Drosophila melanogaster: one gene and its partners. The protein of the gene in region 3 interacts with the protein of the main gene of each other region in a pairwise test. Each region holds a gene or a part of one and is shown on either strand. Other genes may lie near its edges. The genes, in order: CG17002, fd59A, CG14451 and C15.

Region 1 (8,117 bases), on a different chromosome or scaffold from region 3:
CGAACAAATCAAGATTTTTTGCAGCTATTTCTGTTTCAGCAATTTTGAATGCAACACGAATTCTTAGGAATAAAATATAACTCATACGGATTTTCCCAAATGGAAAAGCCATACATACAATATGATTACTAAGAATATACACAATTTGAAATTAAAATGATCAATATTCATATTATTTGGAATATGATCATATTGCCCCCTTTTTCCTACAGTGCTGTCTTCCCAATTATTGTCAAAATAGAATCAATTATGAATCATTTGCTTGCACTTCTGGTTATCTTCCTCGAGCAAATACTTTCTGTAAATGTCGAATTAGCGTCAAATGAATGACATAAGTGAGATTGCCTTCCAAGGGGAGGGACACTCGCTGGCGACGAAAAGCCCGTGGTCGAGATTGAGATCTGCATGCGTCACACTCGAGCAATTTCGAAAATGCACTAATGCCGCGGAAAAACCTCAAGCTGCTTCCCATGGGTGCGGGGTATCAAATTAGCATGTACACAGAAAGTAAAACTACTGTGAAATCAATCTCACTCAAACAAAAGATCATTCTCAGCGTTTTCAGTCAAAATTCCTTTCGCACATTATTGAAATATTTTTTTCTGTCAGTATACTCAACTTGCAGCTGACCAAACAGAATGTATCATTTTTCTCAGACCTACAGTATTGAGATATTAATACAATGAAATTCGTCATAAAAGTGGTTGAATGAATCCGTTTTCATAAATCGCAAGAGTAGTAGTTACTTTAGCAAATATTTTCTATATATACAGCTGTGTTCATAAAAATAGCAGTGCTTTGGACCTGAGAGTTTAAGATCAAAAATTCCTAGGATTTACAGTTTTAATGGGATTTTTTTTTTTTATAATATCATTAGGTATTTAATTTTAAACAATTTAACAAATGTTTCACTTTTATTTCTTCAATAGTTTCGAAAATATAGATTAAAACAACAAAATAGGTAGAAACTCTGGTTTTCAATGTAAATATTGAAAAAAACAGTAACAAAATTCAACTTGACCTAGAACTAACTTAGTTTTTCTTTTTAATACGTTAATTCGGGCCTAATACTTGGCTGGATAGCCTTTGTTAGCCAGCACAGCCTTACACCCACGCAGCATGGAGTCCACCAGGTCCTGGCATCATTTGGGGGAATTTTTGCCCATACATCCTGCACAACTTTCCAAATCTAAGCCTTAGACGTCGGGGAGTTCTTCGACACATTTTGTTTAATTTCCCCCCACAGGTTTTCAATCGGGTTTAAATCGTAAGGTGGTGCTGGCCACGGCATTGCATCTATTCCATTTTTGGGTGAACCTATTCTTTGCCGATTTGCTTCTGCATTTCGGATCATTATCCTGGTGGAATGTCCATTTTAAGGGCATATTATATTCAGAATATTACAGTAAGACATCAATGAGTATATTTACATATGCTATTTGGTCTATAATACCATAAATCATATGTTATGGACTCATACCATTGTAAAAAAAAAAACAAGCATATACCACAATTTTAGGTTCACCGTGGTTGAAAGTCTTCAGTGGGTGTTTTGGGTGGTATTCCGTGTTTGGAGGTCGTCAGATATACTGTAGTGAACCCGTTCCACCAAATTGCACGATTTTTGACCCATCAGTCCAAAGGATATTACGCCATTTGAAGACTGGCCAGTTTAGGTAGGTTTTAGCGAAGCTTAACCTTGCCTAAATATGCCTTGGGCTAAGTAGGGGAACCTTTCGTGAACTCCTCGCACTGAAATTTTGATTTAGTAGTCGTCTTCGAATAGTATCGTCCCTGATTCCCAAGTTGAGCTCAGACTTTATGTCCCTAAAGGATGCAAAAGGATAGACTTTGCTGTAAGAAACAATGCGTCGATGCTATATATCTGTGGTTATATCTATGGAACCACGGTTTTCGGGCTTCCATTCATATTTAATGACATTGGATACCATTTTGGCAGAACATTCAAGGGTTTTTTGAATGTTCATATATGTTTTTACTTCCTTTCTAAGCTTAATAATTAACATTCTTTTCTCCTGGGAGCAGTGCTGTCCTTTACCCACTAATATATAATTTTTTTCATTTACTCCCCTTTTAAATGTACGAATTAATCAAACTCACTTTTTAAAAATATTGATCATTTCCTGACTTTACGTTGGTCAAAACCAGACACTGCTATTCTTATGAACAGCCTAAAAGTTGTGATTTCGCTTAAGAAAGTAAATAAAAAAAGGATAACATGAAAAACTAACCGGATTTTCTTTTTTTCCCTATATACACATTCCATTTAACAAAAATAAGTGGAATAAAAAGTCAATTCCGAAAAGGGACATGGAAAAATACCTTTGTATTAATTAGTATTCCTCGCACTGCTATTTTTCTGAACACAGCTGTACATACCATTTTATATAATAGTCATTTTTTATATGTATACATGATCCAATTTCTATTGCCCAGAATTTCAAAAACTCTTTCGAGTTAGATCAATTTGCCTGTTGGTGATTAGAACTACGATACCTCAAAGTTATTATGGTATAACCACAGAACCACAGAAGCCCATTGATACCAAATATCAAATCAATATCAAATATCAGTATGGTATTGTCGATTGGAAAATAGGGACGCCATAGTTGTGTGCTTTATTTCGTTTATCCGACTTCACGTGGGAAGCGTAGTCAGTGTTGTAATGTCTATTTAAAATCGTAAGTATATCAGTTAGCGAGTTCCGTAGCGACAAAAGGGGTTAGGGGTTAGAGGCTAGTACAATCGCCGCGTGTAATGCATCTGCTGACCAGGAGGCGGCTGGGCGGAGCCGGATCCGGACGGTGCTCCCGGCTGGCCAGGCAGCATCGCCAGCTGTTGCCGAGCCAACTGCTGCTCGTGGGCGGATCCACCTCGTCCAGGGGCATAGCCCTGTGTGATGCTTCCCGCTGTTTTCGGATTCTGTGGAGGAAACTGGCCAGGCGTTAGTCAAGTGAATATTTAGTTCTTCCTTGTAAATGATATCAAACATGTTAATCAGTAGTTGGGAAGTTGGTTCTAATGCGTTTTCCTATGAAAACATGAAAACCTGCAACAATGAATTTGTTTTATAGAAAACAGCTCTTATTCAAGATGCTCAGGCTTTAAAAACCATTTTCGCAGAGCCTAATCGTTGAACTTCGATTTCGAAGATGTAAATCTAACTTGTTTGTTCTAAGTTGTAAATTCTAAGACACTGCCACGGCTAATTAACCACAAATGTTGAGAATGAGACCCACCTGGCTGCTGCTTATCTGCAGCACGTTGCTGTGCAATGAGAGTTCGTTGAGCAGCGGCTTGAAGATGACGCCCTCCGGCAGCAGGTGTGGCGGAGGCGGGACGTGGCTCGGCGGCTGGCCGTCGTGCTTCACCTCGATGTGGTAGCGGTCCGGTAGCTTCTCCATAGTCACGTGTGGCTGGGAGGCCTTTACCGAGAGGCTGCCGCCGGCTTGAGCCACCAGGTCTGCCTGCGAAATGGTCGGCTGGTCGAGGTTGATGTGAAGCACTTGCATGGGCTGCGACTGCGACGGTGCCTTGGGCGACTGCGAGTCGGGCGGCTTGCTGACCGTGGCGCTGGGCAGGTCCACGTGGTAGGCCTGGCGCAACGGAAGGTTGTAGTTGTAGATGGACTGCAAGCGGGCGTCCGCCTGGTGCTGTGTCGTCGGCGGAGGAGCGACCGTCTGGTAGAAGACCGTTCCCGTGCCCGGATACTGTGCCGCTGTTTCTGGAAGAGAGGAAAAGTGAGGTTTAATTGACGAATCTGGCGATCGTTCCGACGGAGGATCTCGGGCTTGGTATTGCAAGTGAGGTGCTTACTGTTCCATGATAATCTAGCATAGTCAGCGGCACGACGGTAGTCATCGTGTTCTGCGAATCGATCGTAAACAAATAACGAAATGAACATAAGTTGTGTGCCTGTGTTGTTAGAGGTTAGTGTGCGCAGTGAAATGGATTTCTCATGAACGGGACGGAGTGTTAGCGAGCAGTTAATCAAGAAGAACAGCGAAAGCTCCGCAGAACAGATCAATCGGTGATTGTATCGCACCTTTAGCCAATGCCAATTTGCAGTTGAATTTTAAAACTCGAGCTATCTGCTAGAAACCCTATATATATCGTTTCTACACTATATATCCTTCAAAATAATAGGGTAATTTTTGTGCACATTAAAACACATTAAACTAAACCATCCAATACAAAGCCTAAACAGCACGAAACTTTCTTTATATCGAATTGATTATTTACTTAACACTTAACCATGTTTTTGCAATCATTCCTAATTAGAAGTTCAATTGATATTAGTGCTAATATTTCATAGAGCTTAAAAAAGGGCTTGGCAATCAGAATGTAGAGATGATGACATCACAAAAATCACGTATATCTCTCGTCCAAATCAAGAACCATACATATGTGCTAACCAATTCAATGACTAATCAAATTATGAGCAGATCCCGCATTCGAGTTAACAAAATCCAACCGAAATTGCGTGCATGAGACTTTGGACTGCCTGCCTGAGGCAGCGTTCACTGTATCGGAGGCCCAGGGACCACATTGTCGACCTCTTCCTGGCTTACTCTGCTGGGCGTAGCTGGCGGCGCTCTTGTAGTAAGCCTGCTGCTGACTCGGCGGCGATGGACTCCTGCCACGTTTTCCTGGCTGTCCGCCGGACGGGAGCTGCGAGGAAAAAAGAGGACCATTAGAACCTGAATCCCACAATTGCGCAGTCGAGACCTTCTGCATCAGCGTATGGTGCTGGTGTTGGAGGCGCAGGGGCGGCAGGAAGACCGGGCTACTGGCCGCCGCCTGCTGGATGGCGAACAGTTCGTTCTCCTTGGCCAGCTTCTTGCGCGTTTCGTCCTCGTTGAGCACCTTCTTGAGTTGGACGGTCAGCTGATGCTTCTGGCTGTGCAGATCGGCCAGCTGCTCGTCCAGTCGGGTTATCTGGCCGCGTGTGTCATCCAGGGCCACCTGGTTCTGGCGCTCCACCTCCTCGCGCTCCCGTCGCAGCCGCTGCTCCTCGCACTGAGCCTCGAACTCCTCCTGGCGCCGCTGGCGGTCCGCCACGATGAAGCCCTTCAGTGCCCCGCGCAGCTTCTCCGCCCGCTCGGCCTTCGCCGCCTGGGCGGCCGCGTTGCTGTTGTTTACCGCTGATGCTGGCGGCATCTTTGTGCTCTGCTTAGTTATCTTGCCAATTTTATAAGCGTTCGTGGACGACCGGGCAATCGCGACTGTTTGACCGAACCGACCGAGAGGCTCCCCAAATGGAATGGCGTGCTGGTGGCGGTGGGCTGGAATCCGGGTGGACACCGCTACGGGAATCAATGGTTGGGCGTCTTGGGATCACTGCAAATGCTCGACGCCGGGCTGCACTTTATTTTCGTTCACTTTCAGCACGGTTTTTTGTGGTAAACAATTTGTTGAGTGAGTGGGATGTGCCGACCAGTGTTGCCACCAATCGATTAATGGGCAAAGCTAGCTAGAAAATAGCTACTTTCCGATTGTGGTGGCAAATCTTAAGTTAACGTTCGAACTAAATCACTTATAAAGAATTCGATTTTTTCTTTAAAGCTTATATTCCTAATATTACTAGTCACACCCCAGAATTTAATATAAAATACAAATAGTTTCAACACTGATCGATACTTATCGATAACTTTTTGGAAACAGATTATAGTTTTTGGAAAATCCAAGCATTAAAGTCTAGACATTCTAGAAATGTCTATCGATGTTAATAAAATGCGTAAGCATCGATATGGCATCTCTCATTGGAGGTATCGTGCAGCTCGAGCTCTGCGGTCACACTAGAATTGCAGTTGTTGGTGTGAACGTCTGAACGCGATTCGGAAAATACGGATTACACGGATAATACGAATTATACGGATATTGCGGAAGTTGAACGGAGACGCGACTGAAAGAAAGCCGTGAAATGTGTTCAGTTGCGCGCAGCAGTCATTAGCCTATCAGCAGTGTTTGTTACAAGCTAACAGTGATACAACGTGCCTGGAATCGCAACCAACGCAGAGCAAGAAAAGCAGAAAAGCATAAAAACGGAAGAAGCAGCAGCGGAATAATCAACAAAGGCGGCAAACATGGCGAGTGAGTAACATCGAGCATTTCTCTGCCTATGGAGCATCCCAAACGACATACAGCAGACCCCGGATTCCTTTTCCATAGCATAAACAAACGCAATTCATGCGAGTCATTGCAGCGGCCGTTTTATGGCTGCAGTGCAGCATTTACGAGCTGCGAAAACTTCCAAATCGCTGCCAGGTGTCGGAGGAAGTTGCTCCGAGCAGGGGCAGTGGGGTGGGGGCGGGCGATGCGGCTCCCTAGACAAGATGTGTGTGTTTGCCGGGGACATGTGAGAAAAATCAATACTTATGCTCCCCACTCCCCATCCCACTGCACAGTGGGCCGGTCGGATTAGGCAGATGCCGTGCTCCTGCTGCTGTGCGCACCCACTTATCGCGGCCAACAGGGTCAGCGCTTCCCAATCAGAAATCCCGCTCTTTTATCCTTTAATGGCCCCGGCAGTTCTGGCGGGAATTAAGTGCGGCTGAGACAGCGGCCACCACCGTTTTGCACGAACCCGCCACCCGAGCCGCCCACTCCACCGCAGCACAGGAGGAATAGGAATGGGAACTGGGAACAGCAGTGACGACGCATTAATAAATGAGAATATGCCTCCTGCGAGGTGCCAGGTTTACCGGCGTGTCGCAACACTCCCCGCAGTCCTCACAATTCGTTTTATCCCCACGGGGGGTGATATAGCAAACAAAACGATGAAGTCATGCACAGTGAGAAATCTATGGCAACTTTGTTGAATTGTTGATAAACATTACAATTAGGACAATCTTCACAGATTAAGCTTAAAAGGGCTTAAAATTCGATACTACTTTGCAGTCAAAGCGCAGTCATTGTCAAGATAAAGCTGTGACTAACTAAAAGAAACCCCTTTTTTTCTTGTGTTTCTCAGTGTAGTTGGATGTGTAACGTACGCACTGGATGTGTTATATTTGGGTCAGTCACCGATGAGAATTGTTAAACGTAAACAAGTCTCTAAACTTCTTAGTTTTCAAACGTGACTGCACCGAATCAACACATACATAAACACTGGCCACAGACTGTACTGTTTGTATACCCTTTCCCGAGGGGAACCTGTGCAGAACGACAACAAACAGCACTTGAACGCGCCGGCAATCCCGGCCTCGAAACTTCCCCTTTTTCAGGAGGGGTGCTGCATCCCAATCCCCACACCACTGTACACCTCACTTGTCTACAGAACCCACCAGCTGCGCCCAGCGTAGCGAGACCCATTTCCACACTGAAAACAATTCGTGGTTCTTGTTCATTTTAATTCATATGCAAGCACTGGGAAACTTGCGCTGAATATATGATTTTCAAGACCTGTCATTCGGAGCATTCATTAAGTGTTACATAAGTTTTATACCTGAAGTATAGTACATTGAAATACTATTCGACATTACTATAGATTGTTTTGAAATCTAATGAAAGGACATCTATAAAATTCAAGGATGCAGGCCATTGGACCGTTGCGGCATGATTTACTCGCTGTGCAGATCCCAGCTGCGAGATGCTTGCCACGTCCTCCCTGCGGCTCAGTCACTTTGGACTTTAATTGGTCCTTTGTGACTGCATTTGTCGACGCTTTCGCTCGGCGTCTTCGACGCAATTTGACTGCTGTCCTTGAGGCTGTGGCTACCATCAACCCCGAGGCTGGGAGTCTGATAAGGAAGAGGATATCAGCTGCCAAAGCAGGCCGCTCCCCTCGCCAGATTCCAGATTCTAGATTCCGGAGCTGCTGCCTCTTTATTGTTATTGTTATTATTTTGGGCTTTTCCATTCGTTCCACGCAGCTTACCCAGATTAGCTGGCTGTTATTGTAGTTTGCCCGGCTTCGAATTTATTGTCCTTTTCCACCTCCTTCTTGCGTATTCCGGCGTCGTTGCTTCATTTGCTTCAAATCTAGCTGGGTGACTTGTGATTTCCCCGTGCCTAGCGCCTTCCACTCGCTTTATTCTTTTAACTGCTAATAAGATTTTGGCCCTTCTAATGGCCTTGAGAATGAATGGGGCGAG
Region 2 (7,994 bases), on a different chromosome or scaffold from region 3:
GAAGGTCTGCACTGCACAGGTGTACTCCCCCGTCATGTTCCAGTCGGGATTCTTTATCGATATAACACCGGGACTGCCCTCCATAGTGAATATTTTGGTGTCTATCTTCGACTTCATGAAGCCCTACAGGCGCAAGAACAAGAACAAATCGAAGACAAAGACAGAGTTCGATTAATCTTAATTAATTCGGTGCGACCAAAGACCCCGAGTGACTCACCATGGCGAACCCCTTGACCGATGGTATCCACTGGTAGATGGAGTGGTTATTGAACAGCCATTTGAGGACGAATCCTTGCTCCCGCGGCCCGATCTCCACCTCGCAGTCGAGCACCAGAGGATCGGGTTCGTGGTCTCGGAACAGCGTGTAGGTGCGTGGCACCCGCAGGTTGGTGATGCGCACCGAGTGAGTGACTATGCGGCATGGGGGCGGAGTAGGAGGAGTACAGGATTAGTTTGGAGGAACCCAAAAAGGATGTATGCGAGAACTGCTCACCCGAGAGTAACGCGAGCACGGCCAGCAGCGTGGCGCGTAGGCCTCGTCCTCGCCAGCCCGCCATGACAGCCGACTAGTTTGCCTCAGCGTCGCTGGGCACTCCAGATCCTGTCGCTCGTGATCCTCCCGTTCCGCGAGGACGCGCCGTCGTTGTGCGTGGCAATGAATACTTCTGTGGTGGTTGGACGTTTCTACTTATCGCGGTGCTGTCTGTTTTCGGCTTGCGCTTTTATGTGGATACATGGGGGCCTTTGGTTGCACTCATTATCACCAATCTCATCACAGAAGCAGAATGGCAGGGGGATGCTTTTTTCTGGGGATACGGGCACTGACTGGCACAAACTTTTCTCGGCCCAACGAGCTCAGCACCTCGGACGCAGCAGCTCCTCGCAGGACATCTCCCACTGCAAGTCGCAACTATGGCAATCTCCTTTTATGGCCCGGGCCATTTAAAGTTTTGCCCACACAGGACAGGATACTTTTTGTTAGCGAAAAATCGACTTTTTGCAGCCCACATACACGAACATCTACGGCTGCGATAGTGTGTGCGTGCGGAATGGAGTCCGCGGGGGCGAACTGTGCCAAAAGTGGAGTTCGTACTCTCGGCGTAGCGCGTGAGTTCTGCTGGCGGATACCAATAGTTGGTGTTGGTATCTTCGGCGGCACACTGTTGTCCCGCTGCCAGGCGCAGCTTTTCATGTTTTAACACTGGAAGCCAACGGGACGCTCGTGGGAGAGCGGAGCTTTCGTTTGGTAGCGCCGAACTCCACGGCGTTCTATGGCGGCACAACTACGTCCTGCGCCAAATCAGCTGAGCGATGGTCACTGCGCAGGCGCTAAAGCTGAACTGATTTCCAGGCAGGGGTGCCACACCTGGACAGGTTTGCTGGGCGGTAAATTCAAATAACTCGGGGTGTTTTATTGCAAACAAAAGGTAACAAAACGTCGAAAAGAGGGATCCCTTTAAGGATATTATTACAAGGAAGAGAGTGGCCACATATAATAATATAATTATAAAAATAATACAATATTACAGGTATCAATAGGATTAAAAATTAATATTTAGTATACTACAAACATATTAGTAACATGCTGTAGTAGCTGTAGTAACAACACGTATATCGGTACCTACCAGTCAAACATGTATCCGTGTAAACTATTATTATGTTGTTGTTTATTCAATTTTCAATAACATCAGCAAAAATCTTAGTCTAATTTATAGTTAATAGTGTTCCTCTTGCTTGGATGTGTTACAGTTACACGCAGACGCACACGCACACACATACACATGATTAGTACTTGCATGGTAGATATAGGTCTAGAACCTGAAATCCCGACTCCAGACCCCAAGAATTCGTGTTAAAAGTATACTATAGACGTGCGATGCTTCAGATTTACATAGATATTACGCGCAGATATATGTTTAGTACGTAAGTGGACTGGCAACTATAGCGTTGACTTCGATTTGGTCGCATTTAAAAACTCGTGTGCTGGCTCCTACATCCTACGGATACACCTACTGATCACTACTTGCTGCTCGGATTGGATTCCTGGGGATTGCTGGTGGTGGTGTTAGTGGGCTGTTAAAACGTGCTTAGATCGAAACTGAAATCACCGTTCAATGGACTGTACACAAGCCAATTGGTTCAAGCGAGTGGGAATCCCGCCTAGTCGCTGGTCTCCTCCTGGCTGCCACCGCGATGCAGGTGGTGGCCAATCAGCGTCTCGATGCGAAAGTCCTTGGCGCTGCTCTGTTTGCTGGTCCGCAGAACCAGGGGCTCGCTATCGAAGCGTCTCCTTGGACTTGAATCGGACGCCTCGGCAGAAGCCTCAAAGATCAACGCTTCCGGCGGCGCATCCAGGCGATTTGTACAGGCGCTGTCCACCGAGTCCGAGATATGTGAGTCCTCCTGCTCATTGCCGCTCTCCACGTCGATCTTGTCCTCGCATGAGTCGTCATCTCCCTCGGCTTCCGCATCGGCCTCTGTGTCCGCATCGTCATTGTACACATTGAGATCCATGTAACCACCGCCGGCGGACAGTCGTTCTGCGTAATCCCTGTGGCCGGGAATGCCCGCAGCACTGGCCACAGTCGCCACATCGAAGGCGTATGGGCTTTTGTACTTGGAGCCACGGCTGCTCTCGGATCCCCCGCCCACTCCTCCGCCGGAGCCACTGCTGTGCGGTAGTGCATCCAGGACATCCGCTCCTCGACCGCGATTCATGAAGGGCAGCCGGTCGAACTTGTCCCCCGACTGACTTCCCTGGTAGAAGGATGCTTCGGCATTCGCAAAGAAGTTAAACTTCTTGTCCGCTCGCAGCGCTGAGTCAAAGACATCCGCCGGATTGTGGACCACGTCGAACTCCCTGCTCCCATTGAAGTTGGGCACGTTGAAATGCACTGGCACGAGGGGCACGGGCTTGCGTATCCAAAATGGAGACAGCGTGCCAAAGACCGCCGGAAACGAGAAGCGTTGCATGGTGGGCGCCCGTTTGTAGCGCTTCCGCCGGCGCAGGAAACTGCCGTTGTCGAACATGTCCTCCGCCAGCGGGTCCAGCGTCCAGAAGTTGCCCTTTCCGGGATTTCCCGGCTCGCGGGGCACCTTTATGAAGCAGTCGTTCAGGCTGAGATTGTGCCGGATGGAGTTCTGCCAGGCGGGGAATTTGTCCTTGTAGTATGGAAAGCTACAAGTAAAATGCACAAGTTATTTAACATTTTTTCGAGGAATTTTTTTTAAAGAATTTGGTTGTTTATCTAGATCACTTACATTGCAATCAGTAAATAAAATATCACATTTTAAAATTTATAATTTTTGAAATCGATTAAAGCACTGAATGTCTCTTCTTTTCTATGTTTTCAATTGAAATTTTATAGGATTTATTTATTTTTATCGTCTTTACAAACTACTACTTTTATTCTCTTTTTCTGATGTTTTAAGATAACTTGGAAAAAATCAAACTATTGCTTCTTCATTTAAGGATATTAACTTTGCTGGCAAACTCACCGCGACATGATGAAATCGCAGATCCCGCTGAGCGTGAGCTTCTTGTGCGGTGACTGAAGAATGGCCATGGTGATTAGAGCTATGTAGGAGTATGGTGGCTTTACCAGGGGACCACCCGAAGATCCCGAGCCGTCTCCGTTGCCGCCGGCGGCACCACTTCCGCCCATGGACGACGGCTCGATGTCGCTGTCGTCGCAGCCCATGGACATGGCATCTGCGGCGGCAGTGCGCGAGGACGCACTGCATCCGATTCCGTTGCCGATGGAGGAGCCGCCTCTGGAGCTTTTGATGAGCGGCGGCGAGAGGGAGACGCTGTCGTGCAATGTGTGCATGGGATCCGTGCTGGTGTGCATGTCTTAGCGGGTATACACTGTAGTCTATTTGAGTCCGCGAATTGGACTCACTAAATTTAGAGGACGCAACACTGTTATTTAACTATTTTGCTCAGGAACTGTGTTCGTTTTGGCGTTTCACTTGCTTCACTTGGCATTTGCATATGCTTTTCGATTCAACTTGGAATTTGATATTTTCTTTTCTATTTCCGCTTCCGTTAACCGTTCGCTGTTACCGTCGTTTCCGGTTTAGCTGCTAGGATAAACTGTACATATGGCCAGCAGTGGTGTGGAAAGTGGAAAGTTGGCTAGCGCCTAGTCCGTCGTCGCGTCCGTTGAAGGCGGAATCCGCTGGCCAAATGTTAACTGAATCGCAACGAAAACGAAAATCTTCTCGCCCAAAATGTTTTTCTACATAACTCAAACATTTATTTATGAAAAACCGCTGCCATTGCCGCTGCCGCTGACGTTTCCCTGAGCTTTTGTGTCGCCGTTGCTGTGTTTTCGTATCTCGAATAACTGTGATTCTACTGCCGACGTCGCCGTTGGCGCGGGCAGAGCATCCTGACGGCATCCTGGCAGCATCCTGGCTGCGCCCCGACAGCATCGCAGCAGAGGGAGAGAGAGCAAGAGAGCCCGGCCAAGCCTCTCTTTCTAGCGGGGGATGGGTTGATATCCTGCGAACCAATCTATGCGAACTAGCTCGTGCCATCCCTCTCCCACTCGCTGCAAGTCCTCACAAAATGGTGGAGAGCCCTGGCTGTAAATGCGATATTTGTGTTTTCCTCTCTCCAAGCGGCGGCAAATTGGCAGCGACTGCAGAAGCCAACGAACGCGGCGGTGGGGGGGATAAACATTTTGCGCAAATTTAGATACCTTTTGCCGCTTTGACGTCGTGGCTCTTAATAATGTTTCATTATGTCAGCCACATGGAGGCAGGCGTCCTTTTCCCCTGCGGCCCTCCCTCGTCCTCGCACTCGCCCTGCCAACCACCACTCTGCTCCTCTGCCCCAAATGTTATGCTTCAAATGTTGGCATTTTTATGTGCGAATGTTTTTCTAACCGTATGTCGACGTTTCTTGGTTTCTCTCGGGCTCGCAATCTCATTCCCAGCCCTCTGTCCCTATGCACAGAAAGAAAAAAAAGAAAAGAATCTAATTATGTGTTTAATTATGTAAAGTCCAAATTCCACAAATCTTACTTAAGTTAAGTAACGAAGTTATAGGGACTTTTCTTTGCAGTTAGATAAGTAGAATTGTATTTATTTTCATAGGATATATTTTGTTGGTTATTCTAAGAACGATTAACTGAAATATGTATATAATACAATGTATTATTATTAAATACATTTAAAAAAAAAAAAAATGCATAGAACAGTTATGTCATTTTAGCAATGCGAAAAAACCGAAATAAAATATAATTTTAAAACAATACATACAATATACAATACATCTAATATAGATAATATTGGTTTTTTTTCTGTATATTTTATTTGGGTGTGGAAGTGAGATGGAATCAAATGCACCATTTTCACCAACATCCTCCGAGCACAATGGGGGCTACTAGAGTGAGAGAGAGAGAGCAGTAGAGTGGGTGGGACGGGAGGGGGTTGGACGTACATGTGTTTGCTGCATTTGTACTTGTATCCAAGTGAGTTTTGTACTATTTCTCTTTTTCATTTTCGCTGTTTTTGTTCTCCAGTTGTTAGACATTGTTGTTGTAGCCATTGTTGTTGTTCGCCATTCAGTGTTTGGAGCCTTCCCTTTTCAAATTAAACATTCAGTAGTCACTTTTATTTGTTGTACTTTGTTCAAATTAGTTTTCCAGTTTTGCGGAAGTTACCCACACACAACCAAACACTCACTCACACACACAGATGCATGGAAACAGACACGAATACAATAAGGGCCGCCATCTTCGAATTCAGAACCATATTGATGTCGCTTCTTTCACTCTTGGCATCGTTTTCATTATTCTATTTTAGCTTTGCCACCCCCAAAATTCCCATTTGCCAATTCCCCCACGCCCGCCCACCTTTTACCCATTGTTACACTTACAAATCAATGATTTTTTGGCCAGATTTTTAGGGGCGTGGCATCGGCCATCGGTATGTATCTTTATCCCGCTTAGTAGTGTTGGTATTATCAGGGGGCATAAATAGAAGGGTGTATATACAATACTTACATGGGGTCGTTTCTGCTCTGCCTGCTCCCCAATTTCGAGGCGGAAAATTTATTGAGGCTTATCCTTGTCTTTTTATGAGCAAACAGAACATTTCATGGCAGCCAAATGAAATTGGTTGGACACAGAATGTAATCAAGTTTTTCGAAGCTAACGCTTAAACTATTTCGGAACTTTATAAACAGGTAAATCAAGCAAAAACGTACCCAATTACTGGAAAATGCTGGAAATCGAAAAGGAATATGTGTTTCAAACTATTGAGTATTAATTGCATGTGTACACTGTAATGACAACAATTGGTAATTAATTCCGACTAGAGTCAGCATTAATATATGTGTAACTGTATCGGTAGAATGGTTAACAACAATATAGCTCACCATGCATAGAGGATAATCTATCTATAGCTACCAGTCATCCTCAAAAACATTAGCCCACTTTATCCCCCGCGAGTTGCATCTAGTATATCGAAAATATTTGCCCTTTCAATCCACTTTTCATTACTTATCCGCCTGCTCAATAGTTTCCATGGCAATTAAACGATTCCAACAGCCACTATCCTGGGCCAATCCGTGGTCACAGCCGTATCCATGTTCCCTGTCAGACTACGGTTAATCGCCGCCTTAGCACGGCAGGAGTCCGGATGAAGGACGAAGGACTCGGGCGGCCAGTTGAGCGTAAGGATGCGGTGCATTAAAGCTTTCGCAGGGGAACAATTAACTTATGGCCAAACAATAACGCCGAGGAATGCACGCTGACAGGAACCAGCCACCAGGAGCACATCCTGCTCAGCCTCACCGCCAGCTCCATCTCCGGGCTATATATATCTACATGAATATCCTGCGTCCTCATCCCGCGCTGCAGCAACAGCGGCATGATCCAGCAATAATCCCTCTTTTGTCAGCAAATTTATTGCACACAAGCAAGCCGGCAAAGGATATGCCAAGCGGATGAAACGGAGCGCTCAGTGGGCAGGAGGGGTAAGGACTGCGGATACCGATTCGGGATTGGTCTCTGGCTTGGCTGAACCCAGACTTTGACAATACAAATCTTTATTGCGAAATCTGCAAAAGGCAAATAAAAGATTTGACACTTGAATTGCTTTGACTGCAAGGATTCGGCAAGGACAATCGCCACTTTTGGCTCAAACAAAGGACACAGTTGCTAGCCACCGACGATGGTCCGCCTTCATTATGCACTGGGAACAAAAAGAGGTCATAAGATATCTTCATTTGATATTCAAGTAAATCAAAATGGCTATGGCAGCATCTAATTATTATTTAATTATTATTTTGTTTATTAATATTATCATTATCTGTATATATCGAAATATTTCAGCACCTGTACGACATTTCCAACAACTACTAATTTAAGAAAGTGGTTATGTCCTTCGACAAGTGTACATCTTACGAAGGGGATCCCCTCTAATTTGCGCTTGAGATGGCGCATCCTGTCGCATCCTGCATCGGTGGACGGCATCTGAGGGTCGGTGGCACCTGCTGGATCGCAAAGGCAAACACTTGAGGCCGCGTAAGAAGTTCGAGAATGGCGAGGGATGGCAGGTTTAATAGCTTCACTTCTTATGTGATTATTAAATCTTTGAAGTATCTGAAGGCGCAGAAAACAAGTCAGGCTGGGGCTCTGGTCGTGGGAGATACACATACAGGCACTTGAATACTTAAGTGACGCTCAATTTGATGGACAAGGACGTCGAGAATCAGCGGGCAAGCCACCCCAGGATTGCCCAGGACAATGGGAAAAATCACAGCAGGCAGCGAGCAAATTGCACAACTGCAGCCGCAAATTCTGTTTCGGGATCTCCGTTCTCCAACCTGCCAACAAGTGGCAAGCACAACAATGGATTCGATTTAACCATCCTCACTGCCCCGCATCCGGATCGCAATCCTCCGGACGAGCTGGAATATTTCACGCTCGATTTATCCCGGCTTTTTTTTGTACCAGAGGGTTGGGACAAACAGCAAGTGC
Region 3 (6,288 bases):
TATGGCCAGGTCTCCGCACATAAAATCAGTGAAGGTATACGCCCATCTAGTCACCATACTCTGGGTACAGTACTTGGTTCGATCATTATCCTCGTGGTACTGCAAAAGTAATCAGGAAGGAAGTCAACTAGGGGTTATCAGAATTGGGAACAGAATCTTACCTGACACGCAATCCCTGCGGTAAACTCGAAAAAGTCTTTCTTAAAAAAAGCATCCGTCGCGAATTTGTTGATTTTCTCGTCATTCAAATCAGCGACATTCATGACCTCCTTCTTCAATATGAATAGCAAGTACTGGATATCAAACACCTGGATTTTTTCGCCCCCGTCCCTGAAGTCATCATCGCACTCCAAATAGCGGAAGCATGACTTCACCATGGTAATATTTTCGGCGGGTGTAAAGACTACTAGGGTCTTGCCTTTTCCCTGGCATTTGGATAAGTAGTCAACAATGTTGCGGTACAGCTTGGTCATGTTCTTCTCCCCCAGCGCGTTGGGCGGCAGCGGCAGGTCGTGAGTGGTTGAAGAGTGAAGCAGGGCATCGCTACCTTGCCCAAAAATGATCTGACCGGGGTCAATCATGGTGCTGTAGATGGATCGGATTCCCTCCTTCAACGAATATTCGCATGCCGCAAACTCGGCGGGCACATAGACGTCGGTGGTCAAGGCTTTAGTGAAGTAGTTGAAGGCAACGAAGACAAACTTGGCATTCTCCAGATCTGCGGCAGCGATTGGAGTTAGTCGAATCCAAATGTCTTCGAAATGTGTGACTTACCATGGGACATCTTGGCGTTTAGCACGAGGCGCTCGATGGTACGTTTCATGTCCATCAAGCTCTCGGTGGCCTCCCTTTGGGCCTTGTCCACCTGGCCGTGGCCGTTGGAACTTTCCCTTTTGGCGCGTTGCGCCACATTTGCGTCCTTGCCGCCTGAGTTGTACGGACCACGCTGCTGGGTGTTCATTTTCTGAAAAGGCTTCATTTATTACAGGGTAGATCCGCAGCATCGACCAAAACTTACCTCCCATATGGTGCCGCAGTGGGAAACAGCCTGCGCCAGCGTCATGCGTCGGCCCTCGGCGTTCCGGTTTCTCCACTCGTTTACGAACATCATAAACCCACTATGCTTCTTAGGAGCCATCTTTACGGGCGTGGCAAGAAGAAGGTCGGTATTTTTGACGGGTAAGGGTAGGTGTTGAGCGCGTGTGCGAGCGAGGTAGCGACTAAAGGCGGTAACCAATGAACAGCACGAGCAATTTATATGAATGTTGTTTGTATGTACGTCTGACCCTACAGAAATGGTTACTTCGGAATGTCGCGGGTGGCTTCTCTTCTGGCTTCTCTCACGCACGATTGACTTCTCTTCCAATGATCTGGTCTGTGGAATATATCACACAATTCTAATGAAGTGAAGCAGTTGTTTTGTCAGACGTCGATTCCGCTGACACTTCAAATATCTATTATTGACTGTTTTGGCGTTGCTGAGCACTAGTATCATTCCAGAACTATCGATTCTGGAATGGAATAAGAGTTTGTAAATTTATAATTAATTTATATTTATAATATAATAATTTATATTTCATAAAAATGGTTTAATCAAACCTAATAGCATAATCATCTATCGTCATGCTTTGTAATCGTATGAATAAACTGCACTTGCAGTTAAAAGCAGCCTAATTAAAGATAATACTGCTTATTTATAAATCAAATGGTCGACCATCGAAAACTAAAAATTTTTTAAATCGAAATTCTCTTTCGTAAAACTACAGTGTAAACAGTTGAGTCGAAAAATTGTACATATGTATGTATATCCACCCACAAAGTCGATGTGCTTTAGGTCTATGAAAAATTCTTTCTTGGAAATGGTTTGTTTAATGGTAAAGTAATAATATTGTTTGTATGTATGAACGATTTGTCTGAATCGGTAAATTCATGCTGAATATGAAAATGGTTTGGTCATCACACCGTTTTTGGTTAAAATGTTGTTGTTAAAATGATAAGCATAATCATTTAGAAAGAACTTATTATACCCGTTAACCGTAGAGTAAAAGGGTATACTAGATTCGTTGAAATGTACATATGTAAAAGACAGAAGGAAGCGTTTCCGATATACAGTAAAATATATACATATATATAGTAAAATTAGTTGTTATATTTTTTATTTGAGTCGAATAAATGCCCCGTCAGTTGACTAAGGACAACGCTAAGAAATAAAAAATGATCGGAGAAATAGTTTTAACGTTTTAGTTTTTTTAAGAGTAAAAATCAAATGCAAATTGAATTGAGAGAACCCTCATTATTTGAACAATATTTGTATCTCGGGAGAGCCTCGCTCTTGGGTTCTTAAGATAAGGAGAAGGTTCAAAGAGAGCAGTCAAATCGGCTTATGTCAGGTTTTAGGATGTTTACAAGAACGGCTGAGTGCCGCTGCCAAAGAATTCTTTATTAGAAACGGATGCTGCGCAGCTGGGATACATTATGGAAAATCAATTAAGTGCAATACTGTTTTAATTGAAGTGGCCGGTTTGGACCACCCGAATACGTCACTATATGTATATATTCATGATCAGCATCAATAGCCGAGTCGATCTGGCTGTGTCCTTCTGTCCGTATGAACGCCGAGATCTCAGGAACTATTAAAGGTAGAAGGTTAAGATTAAGCATACAGATTTTAGAGACAAAGATGCAGCGCAAGTTTGTTAACCCATTTTGCCAAGCCCACTCTAGCGCTCACAAGCCGCATAAAACTGTCACGATCGCACTTTTAATAAATGTGTTGATATATCATCACATTTTTAATAGTCTAGAATTCGTCCAGTAAAAGTTATACTAGATTCTTTCAAAAGGTACAAGCAATTAAGATTAAGATCTCTTGGGCCGCCTGTCTCTCAGTAAGAAATGTCTAGAATTCAGGAAGTAGAAGGTGGATATAAAGTATTCTGCTCTTAATTTTTGTTTAGGAGCAAGAGGGCGGAGAACTCTACAGCCATCAGCTGTTTTTACGCATCCAGTGACAACCGACAAGTGCATCTGTGCACATTTTACAATAGAAAGGTCGCATATTTTTATTTATTTTATAAATATTAACTTTTAACTATGTATGTTTGTATTATTTTTACAAAATATATTTTTAAATATGTATTTTCTCATTTTGTTAAATTTATGTTTTAAATTACAAAACTAATAATTATAGTTCTAGATAGCAACTTTATTTATAAGTTGAAATATTGATGAAATTAATGTTAATGCTTTAAAAAGTATTGCTCACAGTGCCCTGTTGAAATTTTGCAAAAAAATTGCCAAAAACTCCAAATATGTAGAATATGTATGTAAATTTTCTTGAATGAAAATTTATTTCGGGCCGAAAATCGTCTTCTAGCACAAGTACGCACACATATACAATTTCTCGTTTGTATGGTCAATGTATGGCCGTCACGCATCTTTTTATTCTAATGTATTTGGTCCTACGTCATTAGGAATAGCTTAATTAAAAAATTGATCAATTATGCACTCTAAAATTTAGAATATTGAGGCATTACCAATCAAATGGCTATACCTAAGATATTTCAATTTACCATAAGGGCCTTGCACAAATTTACCCAACACTGTCGATAGCTCGGCGCCATATCAGATAAGTTTTACTATGGAAATAGGAGAGCGTGGAAATGGAGAACAGGAGGTGCACCGTCGTTGCCGTGGGTGACCTTGTGGATGAGCTTGGCTTCTGTTGCGAGTGGTGTGGCAAGGTGTACAAGAGTCTTGTCCGCTACCACAACCACATTGTATGCACCCACAAGTTACCTGTTCCGGATCACCAGTTGGTCAACTGCTTCCACTGTCCACGCAGCGATTGCAGATTCCACAAGCATGGACCCGGAGTACAGAATTTTCGGCAAATTGGAAGGCTCCGCCGCCACTACCAGGAGAAGCACATGACAGGACACCTTACGTGCGAGTACTGCCAGAAGCAGTTTCAACTGAAGTCAGCGCTGGTGGCCCACAGATGTCGGCTGAGGCATCCAGCCATCAGGGATAGTCAGTCCGCCATCACTTTGGGGAGGCATGTGTGCAAAAAAGGCTACACGCATCTGGGCGCCCTACAACGGCGCCTCACCTGCTGCCAGCATGGAACACCAAATACTCCGACGGAGGACCAGAAGGATATAAGGGACACGGTGTGTCTGCAATGCAACAAGGAATATGTTGACACCCATCGCTGTTGTGTACGAACCGAGCGAAGCTTTCAGTCTGACCGTCTCATCTTCAGAAAGTCTAGTCAGGAGACCCACGGTAAATCCAGGTACCTGCAGGCGGAAGACTGGCGCTTTCTGTTTGAAATGGAGCAGCTTGTCCGCGGCATTGACGACGGGCTTGTGCGGGACCCTTTGTTGCTCACGGAACTCGCCTCTCTGGTGCCGGTGCTTCAGCAAATCCAGGATTCTGATTTAGAAATAAAGTGACATTATTTGTAACGACCAAATATAACCAAATTGTTGTTATTTGCTGCTCAACACTTAAGCTTAGTGTTGTCTAACAGTTTCATTGCTGGCTGTATGTCCATCGTTACGAACTAAAGGTTTGTTATCCCCTTTACTCGTAGAGTAATAGCAAAGACACTAGAATAACAAGATGCGTAACGCCATACGATTTTTTGGCACACAATTTTTTGGCCGTGGCTCTAGAGGTGGCTCCAGGCTCTCTCGAATTTTTGTTAGAGAGCGAGAGAGCGAAGAGCGCTACAGCGAACCGCTCTTTTCTACGCATACAGTGATAGCAGACAACTTTATGTGTGCACACGTATGCTCGTATGCACGTATGATTTTAACAAACAAATTTAAACAGCTTTAAAATTATAATAAGAAGGGCGCGAATTTTTAAAAATTATTTTATTTCATCATATTGCTACGAAATTGGCAAAAAACTACCCTAATATGTACAATGTAAATTCATTTCTTTGATCAGAATTGATTTCGGCCCGAAAATCGTCTTCTAGCACAACACGCACACATATACGCGTTCTCGTCTCTTGTTTTTACTCACACAAGCAAGCAAATTCTATTTTTAGATTTCTTATGTTCTCAGCGTGAGCGAGCAGAAAGAGAGCAATTTTGGCCGTCACCAAAAAAGTGGCTGCATAGTGCCAAACCAATGTATGGCCGTTACGCATCTTGTTATTCTAGTGTCTTTGGTAATAGGGTATACTGGATTCGTTGAATAGTATGTAACAGGCAGAAGGAAGCGTTTCCGAACATATAAAGTATATTTATTCTTGATCTGGATCAATAGCCGAGTCGATCTGGCCACGTTCGTCTGCCCGTCGAGATCTCAGGAACTACATATTAAAGCTGGATGGTTGAAATTCAGCATACAGATTCTAGAAAGACGCAGCGCAAGTTTGTTGACCCATGTTGCCACGCTCTAACTCCCAACGGCCTCGTCTACATTTTTGAAAATTTGTTCATAATTTTAAAAGTCTTGTAAATTTCTATCGATTTGCCAAATAACTTTTTGCCGCGCCCACTCTCACGACCTAAACCGGTCAGGCCGTCGTCACTTTGGAACAATTTTCAAATTTTTTCTCATTTTATTCCCCAGTATCTATCGATATCCCAGAAAAATGATTATTGAAAATTCACACTAGCTGAGCGAATCCTCGACAGAGGAACTCGACTATAGCATTCTTTTTTGTTTTTATCTTAACTACAAAAAATAGCACCACGCTAAACTTGGTACATTCATTGGGCGCACGTTCAATATGAAATTCAGCAATATGTTTTATTTAAATATTTCAAACAGTGCACAGCACAGTGCTGAGGTACTATTAGCTTGTCAGGAAGATCAAGAGCGTGCTCATCCACTGTTCTTACAAGTCGACCGCTTCGTTTTGAATTTTGGTAGGAGAGAAAACAAGAAGGAGCCGTTGGACCGACTTTAGTATGAACACCCAACTATGATGTAAATGTATTGCAAGTAATGATGTTTATTCTTAACCATAGGGAGCCTTTCAGTAGTAACCACTAGGATGGTTATCCTCAGTTAACCCCGTGGGCCACTCGGTGTAGGCATTAAAGGCGGGTTGGTGCGAGTATATTCCCTGGATATGGTGCCGCAGATCGTTGGGCCCTACGTAATAGAGTGAACGCGTGGTGGACAAGCGGTGGCGCACGTCGTACGGCTCCAGCACCGGAAAAGGCTGCCCGAAGAATCCGGTAACGTTGCCGGCATGCGCACTGTACTCCGTATGGGTGTAGTTCGTCTGCCTGTAGAAAATTTGAGGAACAGTTGGGGTAG
Region 4 (8,104 bases), on a different chromosome or scaffold from region 3:
TAAGATACAGATGGCGGTGAGTGTGTGGCTGCGGCCGAGAAGTCTCACCAGAAATACCTAAAATAATGCAAAAAGCTTTTAGCATGCATTATTGATGACGGCCTGTGGCTGGGACTGGTTTCCTCCCACTCCGCTATTTTGGTCTCTTTTCAAAAGTGCTGCACTCTGACCTTTGCTAGTGATTTGGATTAGTTATATACTAGTTACCTCAAGACTAGCACGTAACCAATCAAAGCGCATGCAAATGGGAACTGTTAAATGGCAAATTAGTATACAGTCTCACGGAGTTTACATCATTTTTTAATATTAAATACTAAATTACTAAAGGAGCTCCCTAGTAAAGGGAATTTCTATACACTAGCCTATAGATCCTACTCCGCCATTGATTGGTAACATTCGTGTGGGCAAGTGTCGTGACAAAAGCCCAACTCCCTTCCAATCAGGCTATTATGGCTGTTATGAAACTGCATTAGGGCGTGCATGGCCGAAAAGTAATTGGCGCCTGCTGCGACGTAGTTTCCCAAAAAATAACGAGAATTAACATGCGATGGTTATTAATCATATGGCGCTAAGGGCCCCGGCGGAAGAGAGAGGAGCACTTTGGTCGCGGGAAGGGATCGGATCGGATCGGATCGGATCCGCACCCTGGACGCTCGTTTGTCTTGTTAATGAAAAAAGCCAAGGCGCCAGCTTATCAGCCACAAGGCAAGCGACACAATAAACACAAAAAGACACAGACGTTGGCCGAGACCAAGACCAAGACGAAAACGAAGATGTTGACAAAACGAAACCGAGCGGCAGAAGCTTGGATCACCCGGCGGGCTCATAAGTGTGCCCCTCAGGTGGAATAGTCGACTCGAAGTGACTGATCCGATCCCATTCCATTCTATACGATCCACTCGATCGAATGCCCCTCCTCGGCGGATATACACACAAGTATGGATATGGATATGCAGCCCTCGGATCGCCAGCATTCGACTGGCTAATTAAAAGCTGACCATGTCAGTTGGACTCAAATGTGAAGTGCGGTATGCGGCGATAAATAAGCCGGCGAGGACAGAAAACTCACTCGCTGAGCCCAGCGACCGCCCAATGCGTAATTAATTCCTTTTCGAGCGCAGCGCGAAATTAAAAAGTCATGTAAACCAGCTCATTAAAATAACTAAAATGAAGAAAAAGGCCAAACAGCTAACCAGAACCACTGGGCGGATGTCGGCCATAAAAGCCCGTCAGATTGCCGGGCTGCGCTGCTCCTAAGCAGCTTTTCCACATCACAAGGCCGAAAAAGGCCCGAATATTATGAGTTATAGGATCCGAACCCTATCGGGATCCCCCTTCCACACCATTGAAGATCCCTCGGCTGCCGAGGCGTAATAAAATCAACGCCGTCTCATTATTTCAAAGGGCTCGCGCTGTGCCCATCGCTTGTAGCTACAAGTGAAGCTCATAATGTAAACAAATTAACAAAAAGGGAGCCAGAAGACCCAGCTGCACGTGAAGTTGCAGATTCAGATGGAATACAGATACAGATTCGGATACGGATTCAGAGGACCAGCGACAGATACAGATACAAATTCAACTGCGCATGCGCATGCAAATAAGAAGGCGCATCTCATTCCTGAGTCGCTTCTGGGCGGCGGCTCAGCGTTAAGTTTTTAACTTAAGCTGCGATTGCGCATTTGAAGGCAAACATGTTTTTATACTTTAGCATCCCAAGCTCACCAGAGTGAGTGTACACTGAGCGAAAATTCGTATTATGAGACCTGTGTTCTAGCCTTAAGCTGTTTCTTACCCACAGAAAATACCATCTAATAGACCATCGTAATTATATTATAAGGAAATATGTAAGTAAGCCCTTTTAGACCATTAGACAACGTTCTTCGCACCTTATTTTCAACAATGAATATACAAAAATATGTTTTATCAAGAAGTTTAAAATTATGTTCCTACACCCTATTGCACAATTGAATGCATCCAACTACGCGTTATGTAGGCACATATATAACATTTTTATTCTTAATGTTACCAATTCTTTTATTTCAAATGCCACATTTTCTCTTGGTGCACGAATGTGTTGGCCAACAATGACATGCCGATAGGCATGTTGCCTTAAAAGTCTTCTCTGATCGTGCTTATTTGGGGAACAGTAGCAATTGCCACCGCGGGTCATTGGAGGATCGCTCCCCCGAAAGATCTCGGCGAACATGGGCCATCCCGACATGGGGGCCCCGAATGGGTTGGATTTGGCAAACCCTCTTGACTTCGCTGCTATTCACTCACCTGCCAACCGATCCTTGACCGCCTGATGTGCCAGCGCCGCGTGATGCAGTGGCGGTAGTGCCCAGGTGAGCGGCGTTCTCTGGGGCGGTACACGTAGCACATGACCGCCGGCCGCTGAGGGATAGAGATGCGGATACGAGTATAGTGCTGCGGCGCTTCCGTATGTCGAGTTGGCGATGCTGGTGGCCAGCTTATAGGCCAGGTCGTGGTCCTCCTGCTGCAGTAGCTCCTTCTCCTCGCCCTTTTCGCCGCTGTTGTTGTTGTTGCTGCTGGAGCCCGGACTGCTGCTGAGCAGGTGGTTGTTGTTGTTGTGGTGGTGGTGACTCGTCTCGAAGGGCTTGGATAGCAGGCGTGATATGCTGAAGGGCAGATTCTCACTGGACGAGGAGCGCGTCTGCTCCGACTGCAGGGACTCGCTGGGAATAAAAACCGGAGAAAAGACATCAGAATCGAAGGGAAAGAAGCCCTCTGGAGGTGCGGGCTCATTAAAATGTGTCGCCCGATAAGCGGGAAAGCCTGAGAACATTGACTATAATTAAGTCTGTTGCAGTGCGTACCAGTCTCGGAACCACTAACCAAAAGCCCACGCGAGCGGATAAGCCGAGTTGACGACATGACATGCAGAACCCGTGTGGCCACCGCTGCGTATACGCAATGCGGCTGGAAATGAAGTAATTATGCAAATGCTGACGGCCGTTAGAGGCATTTAATACGCGCCCATAAATCATCAAATGCCATCAACTGACGCACCGAAAACAAGTCACGCACGGCATTTAATTTATAAATCCAAAAAGTAAAAACCCATTTGGAACAGGAATGGAATTGTATCGGAACAATGATCTCAAATCGCCAACCACCGACACACAGACACTTTCCAATATCAAAAGTTATGAGCAAACACATATTATTTCACTGGCCAAAACTTGCTGCTATCTGGTGATCTACATTCGCTGGAACGCGGGTTTTATGGCATTTTTATGACGATCTCTATTAAAATGTTAATCCGACAAACGATTTCGTCTTTGTCCGGCATTCAAGCCGAAGATCCAACTCCAGATTGAGCCCCAAATGGACCCCAATGTCTTATCACAGCCCGTTTTTGGCGCCTTACTAATGTGCGTTTTATCGTCGTCGTCTATTGGAAACCCTGGCCATCCGTGAACTATGTAAATTCAGGGAGTTTCTTTGGCACTTTATGGGACATTTCGACTTGATTCTTTTGGTGGCTTTGTGGTCAATTCATTAGCGTTTAAGAGGTTTGTTCACACTGTTCTTCTAAGCGCACAAACGCTTGAATGGGATCAGTTAACACGGTCTGCTGGATGCTCTGGCATCTTGTTATCCCCTTTTGTCGCTGGAAAATGGGACCATTTGTAAGAGCGGACAATGGGGCTTAAACATCAACGCATTTCAATGGCGTTGAGCCACGATTCGAAAAATAGGATTTGTGAGCATTATGAGTGACAATGTTAAAGATCGTAAAACAGTGGGAGTTATGAGCTCGTAATAACAAATGCAAATAGCTTTTCTCCGCCACAATACTTGTTTGACTTTTATAGGGCAATAAAATAAGACTGTATGCCAACTATTATAACTATAGCTTATAGATCTTTTTCTCTCAGTTAGTCGATCAAATTGCTGTCGATCTAAATTTTGACTTATGAGTAATTAACGAATAATGTGGCCAACTAAATCAAGCCCAGTACTTACAAAAAAATATTTATTAATTTGCATGATGATCATAACCATCAAGAGTAAACGAAAAACTGAGCTTTTTCTTTAATATATTTTTTTTGGGGATTTTCCGTAATGAATTGTTTCAGACCAATTATTATGTTTGTACATCGTATAATTTGAAAGTAAAGCCATTATTATTATTAATAGAGATGCAATCTCTTTTCAAGTTTAGTGTAGCAGATTATTTACGATACAATTAAACCAAAAATATTTTTTATTGTTCGATTTTGCAACGTACATAAATTCAGACGTTATTCATATTTGAAAAATATTTACCAAAATGAATTTTAAAAAAAAAGGCCTCTTCAGTTTTAAGTAAGTAGTACGGAAGCCAAAGCATTTTATCACAATCTAGTTAAAAAAATAATATATGTATGTATATGTAGAAGTCTTATTGTAATTGGAAGATCTGCTTATTTATGGTATATCTATACTGATAATATCTATATTTTTGGGACATTTTTCCTACTTCCTGGTTCTATTTAAAAGCTCTCCTTCTCACCTCAATGGCGTTTCGGACTCGTCGTAGCAGCTGCCGCCGTCCATATCCACATCGGATCCGCTGCCACATGACATCCGCGAGTCCGAGTCCACATCCACGTGGATCTCCTGTTCCTCCACCTCTTCGCCGTGCTCGTTCTCGTGCTCATGGTCATCCTCCTCGTGGCTGGACATTTTGGCAATTAGTGGCGCCAATTTGGAGCTCGCTCACTGCACTTTTCGAATCTTATTGGGCACTCTTTTCTCTTAATAGTTAGATGTAGAGTGTTTCAACCGCGAAGCACACACTAATCGTCCGATTGATTTCAATTCAGTTTCCGCGCTTAAGCACTACCCGTTGCGGGAAATTCCAACTGAGAACTGCTTTGGATTCACGGATTACGGTCTACGGATTAAAGTTTACGGATTACGGATGGCGAATTGCGAGCTGGGAGCGGACGCGTGCTAGCGGGCGAAAACGCTTTTCATAAATGCAATCAAATTGTGCCGACGGCCGCTGCTCTGCCTGCCCTCTGCCGACTTGGCTGCCTCTGCCGATTGCTGGTGGGTTTGGGCTGTTGGAGTGAGCCGGAAACAAGTCAAACCAGTTGCCCGACGTCGACGCCGCTGCCGACTTCCTTCCTATTTCGGTTAAGAGCCAGTTTGCCACCTTGTTTGAACCTAACCTACCATAATACCAGCAACCTGCCTCTTCTGGTTGGTCCACCCTTGAGCCATCCATCCCGCTCTGATCGCACATGCGCCTGACTGCCTCTCGCTCGTGGAAACAGGTTTCGCTCTGCCCGCCGATGGGCAGCACTGGTCGGTAATTGAGCCACGGGGCGTGGCCTCGGCCAACCGCCATTGGCCGCTGGCCGGAGTTTGCCCCACACACTTGCCACTCTCGACGTCCACTTCCCGCTGGCAGTTGCGACGACATTTTAAATGGAAAACGTTTTGCTTTTGGGGTTTTTTATTAGACGAGAGCATGAAGAGAATGTATTTTTATTTCGATTGTTTCTATTTTCAGGTTAGCCAAGCGTTACCACTCTGCCTCGCTCTGTCTCACTCGCTCGCCCGCAAATCACCCCTGCAGAGCGAGTCAGCCAACTGACGAGCGAAAGAGATCACATCCGCCCGCCGACTCTTTTCCGCGGAAGTGCAAATGTGGCAGATTAATAGCACAATTGGAAATAGCGTTCTGTCAGCTTGAGTTCACAAAGCAGCGGATTTGGCCAGGAGGGCTGCCCTGCACCACCGCCTAATGTCACCCCTCACCACCTCACACCGCTTACTACTGAGATCTTTATTAGCGCCAAGAGTTCTACGCGCTATCGCCTGGCATTTGGCAGGCGGCGATTGCGATAAGCAGACTCGAGCTGAAGCCACAGGAATCCAATCCATTTGCCCCGGCCATGCGAATGCAAATTGCGCGGCATGCAGTGGATGCAGCAGCTCTGGCATTTTCCACAAGTTCACCCCACGGGTTAATTGACAGTTTTTCTTGGGCACGAGCCATGTTACTGCTCATCGCTGGCCGGGATCTCGGTCCTAGTCTTAGTCTCAGTTTCAGGTGTTGTTCTAGCCGGCCTGGATGGAATGCGTGTGTGTGGCCAGAAGCGATTGCGTACTCCGTTTTCATTAGCTGAGATAGCTGAGTCGAGATGTGGAATGTGAACCCCTTCAGAATAAGGCAATGTTATGAAAATCCCAAATCCTATTTGCGATAACTTGGATAATGCATTACTACGCTTAGGAGATTCGCTACTGGTCAGAGGATAATTATATCTATATTTCATAATAAAGGGTTACTATATCTCTACTTGCACAGTTTGGTTACTCTTAAACATGATTTGCTTTAAGGTCTTATATTGTACCTCACAAATACTATTCTGTGATTTAAAAGAGTGCCAATGTATGTACATATTGATCACTGGTTTTAAGCTGCATATGCAGCTTTTTGTTCAATGTTAAATTATGTTAGTTAATTATATCTACATATCTTTACCTATCTTTATAATATCATTATTCATAATTTGATTATTATTCAATTTTTCTTGAGAGTGGGCTGCAGAATCAAACCGTTCACTTTGCATTTAAACGGAGTCCGATCCTAGAAGTAACGACTATAAATATTCATTTCTGCACTTAACTGGCCATGTTTCTGTGTCAGACACGAGCAAAAAATCATGGCCAAAAATGAAGAAAGGCAATTACTGCATATTCAATTGGCAAGGCACACAAAAGCACACGCACACCACTTGGCAGTGGAAAGGACTCTGGAAAAAGTCACGAGGCGAACTCCATTTCTCTTCGTACCGCCTCGCAATGTCATTGTTGCTGTTTTGCTGCTGCTGCTGGCAGTCGTTGGTTGGTAGGCCTTGTAGTCGGCTAATTGGATTTCATTTGGGCAGAAACAACGCAGAAACAATTGCCGTAATAAAAGCAACAAAGATAGCAACAACAGCGCCCCATCCACGGCAATTGTAATGCAATTTTAATGCAAAACGAGAGGCGGCCAACATTTTTATTGCATTTTTACTTTTATTTCACTTAATAGCAGGCAACAACAATAACTGCAGCGGCAGCAACGACGAGGAATTGGTGCTTGGTATGAATACGAAATGATGAGGCTCAGACCACCACATCGCATTCATGCAGGGGCAGGAGGAGATGGCTAAGAGGCTGGTGGTGGTGGTTCCGATTCCAAGATGAGAACGAGATGACGGTGGGCGATGGGCGGTGGCAGGGCTGTGGAAAATTAGTATGCAGCGTCGCACTGCAGTCGGGTGGCAGACAAAACAGCAACAACCAGAACAAACTTAGCCTAAGTGTATCTACACAATCACTGGGAGAATAGGTTGTGTCTTTCAGATTATTGGTGAAATTCAATTAACTTTAAATCAGTTAACTGCTTGTCGACTTTCTGTGAAAATCCTTATATTTAGTTGTAGGATATTTTTTTAGTACCCACCTAAAGGATCACCGATTTGGCGTACCCGCTTGGTCTAAAACCTTGGAGCTCCAATCTCATAGCTTTATAGGGTAAGGATACAGGATAAAACCAACCTCTGGAATCTAATTGTTATCTTTACAGTACTTTTGGAGTTTTAACTTCTCAGAGCTGAATATTCCTAATAATCAATGTCTGAAAAAATATAATTTTATAATTGTTACCGAAGGTAAAACCAAATTAGTTGGAATAAATGCCCGAACTTCTTTCAGTGTATGCACTGTAACTGGTGCAGCCACAGCTTCAGTCGTTGCCACTTGACTTTATTGGCAACTTCATGGAATATTCAGCAGCAAAGTTTGGCGCAAGTGCCTCCGAATAATACCGCCCCAGGAGTCGCTCCAACCGCTCCTGCCGTTCGAAATCCTGGCAGTGCTGCCAACCTCATTTGGTATGCATTTTTATTTGGCTCATATACAAATGGCGGAGCACGGCGCGACTTTGGTTCGCCGTTGGGGTTGGGGGATGTGATCCAGATTGGTGTGACAGCGGGGCTTGTGGGGGTTGCCGAGCTCTGCAGACCAAGTGTCACTTAAAATGCCAATACTGATTATAGCCATCTCTTGCGCTCCCTCTCTGACTTCAGGCATCTGT

Evidence for each region.
Region 1: the proteins of CG14451 (region 3) and CG17002 interact in a two-hybrid assay, tested with the Drosophila melanogaster proteins (one large-scale study listed by BioGRID).
Region 2: the proteins of CG14451 (region 3) and fd59A interact in a two-hybrid assay, tested with the Drosophila melanogaster proteins (one large-scale study listed by BioGRID).
Region 4: the proteins of CG14451 (region 3) and C15 interact in a two-hybrid assay, tested with the Drosophila melanogaster proteins (one large-scale study listed by BioGRID).

Annotation. Positions count from the first base shown.
Region 1 is NT_033778.4:6,983,409-6,991,525, reverse strand, and holds CG17002 (uncharacterized protein), read right to left. Parts: upstream 5,484-8,117; 5' UTR 5,182-5,483; coding exon 4,750-5,181; intron 4,693-4,749; coding exon 4,593-4,692; intron 3,889-4,592; coding exon 3,838-3,888; intron 3,746-3,837; coding exon 3,261-3,745; intron 2,956-3,260; coding exon 2,758-2,955; 3' UTR 2,604-2,757; downstream 1-2,603. Other genes in the region: vimar (visceral mesodermal armadillo-repeats), read left to right, coding at 6,108-6,114.
Region 2 is NT_033778.4:22,864,359-22,872,352, reverse strand, and holds fd59A (forkhead domain 59A), read right to left. Parts: upstream 4,195-7,994; 5' UTR 3,852-4,194; coding exon 3,499-3,851; intron 3,179-3,498; coding exon 2,161-3,178; 3' UTR 1,647-2,160; downstream 1-1,646. Other genes in the region: CG13532 (uncharacterized protein), read right to left, coding at 1-123, 218-411, 494-557. UniProt on the Drosophila melanogaster protein: Involved in development during embryogenesis.
Region 3 is NT_037436.4:22,719,416-22,725,703, reverse strand, and holds CG14451 (uncharacterized protein), read left to right. Parts: upstream 1-3,612; 5' UTR 3,613-3,662; coding exon 3,663-4,457; 3' UTR 4,458-4,474; downstream 4,475-6,288. Other genes in the region: mael (maelstrom), read right to left, coding at 1-99, 162-718, 775-973, 1,019-1,138; CG32452 (uncharacterized protein), read right to left, coding at 6,002-6,288.
Region 4 is NT_033777.3:21,496,846-21,504,949, reverse strand, and holds the start of C15 (C15), read right to left. Parts: upstream 4,965-8,104; 5' UTR 4,693-4,964; coding exon 4,520-4,692; intron 2,697-4,519; coding exon 2,281-2,696; intron 1-2,280.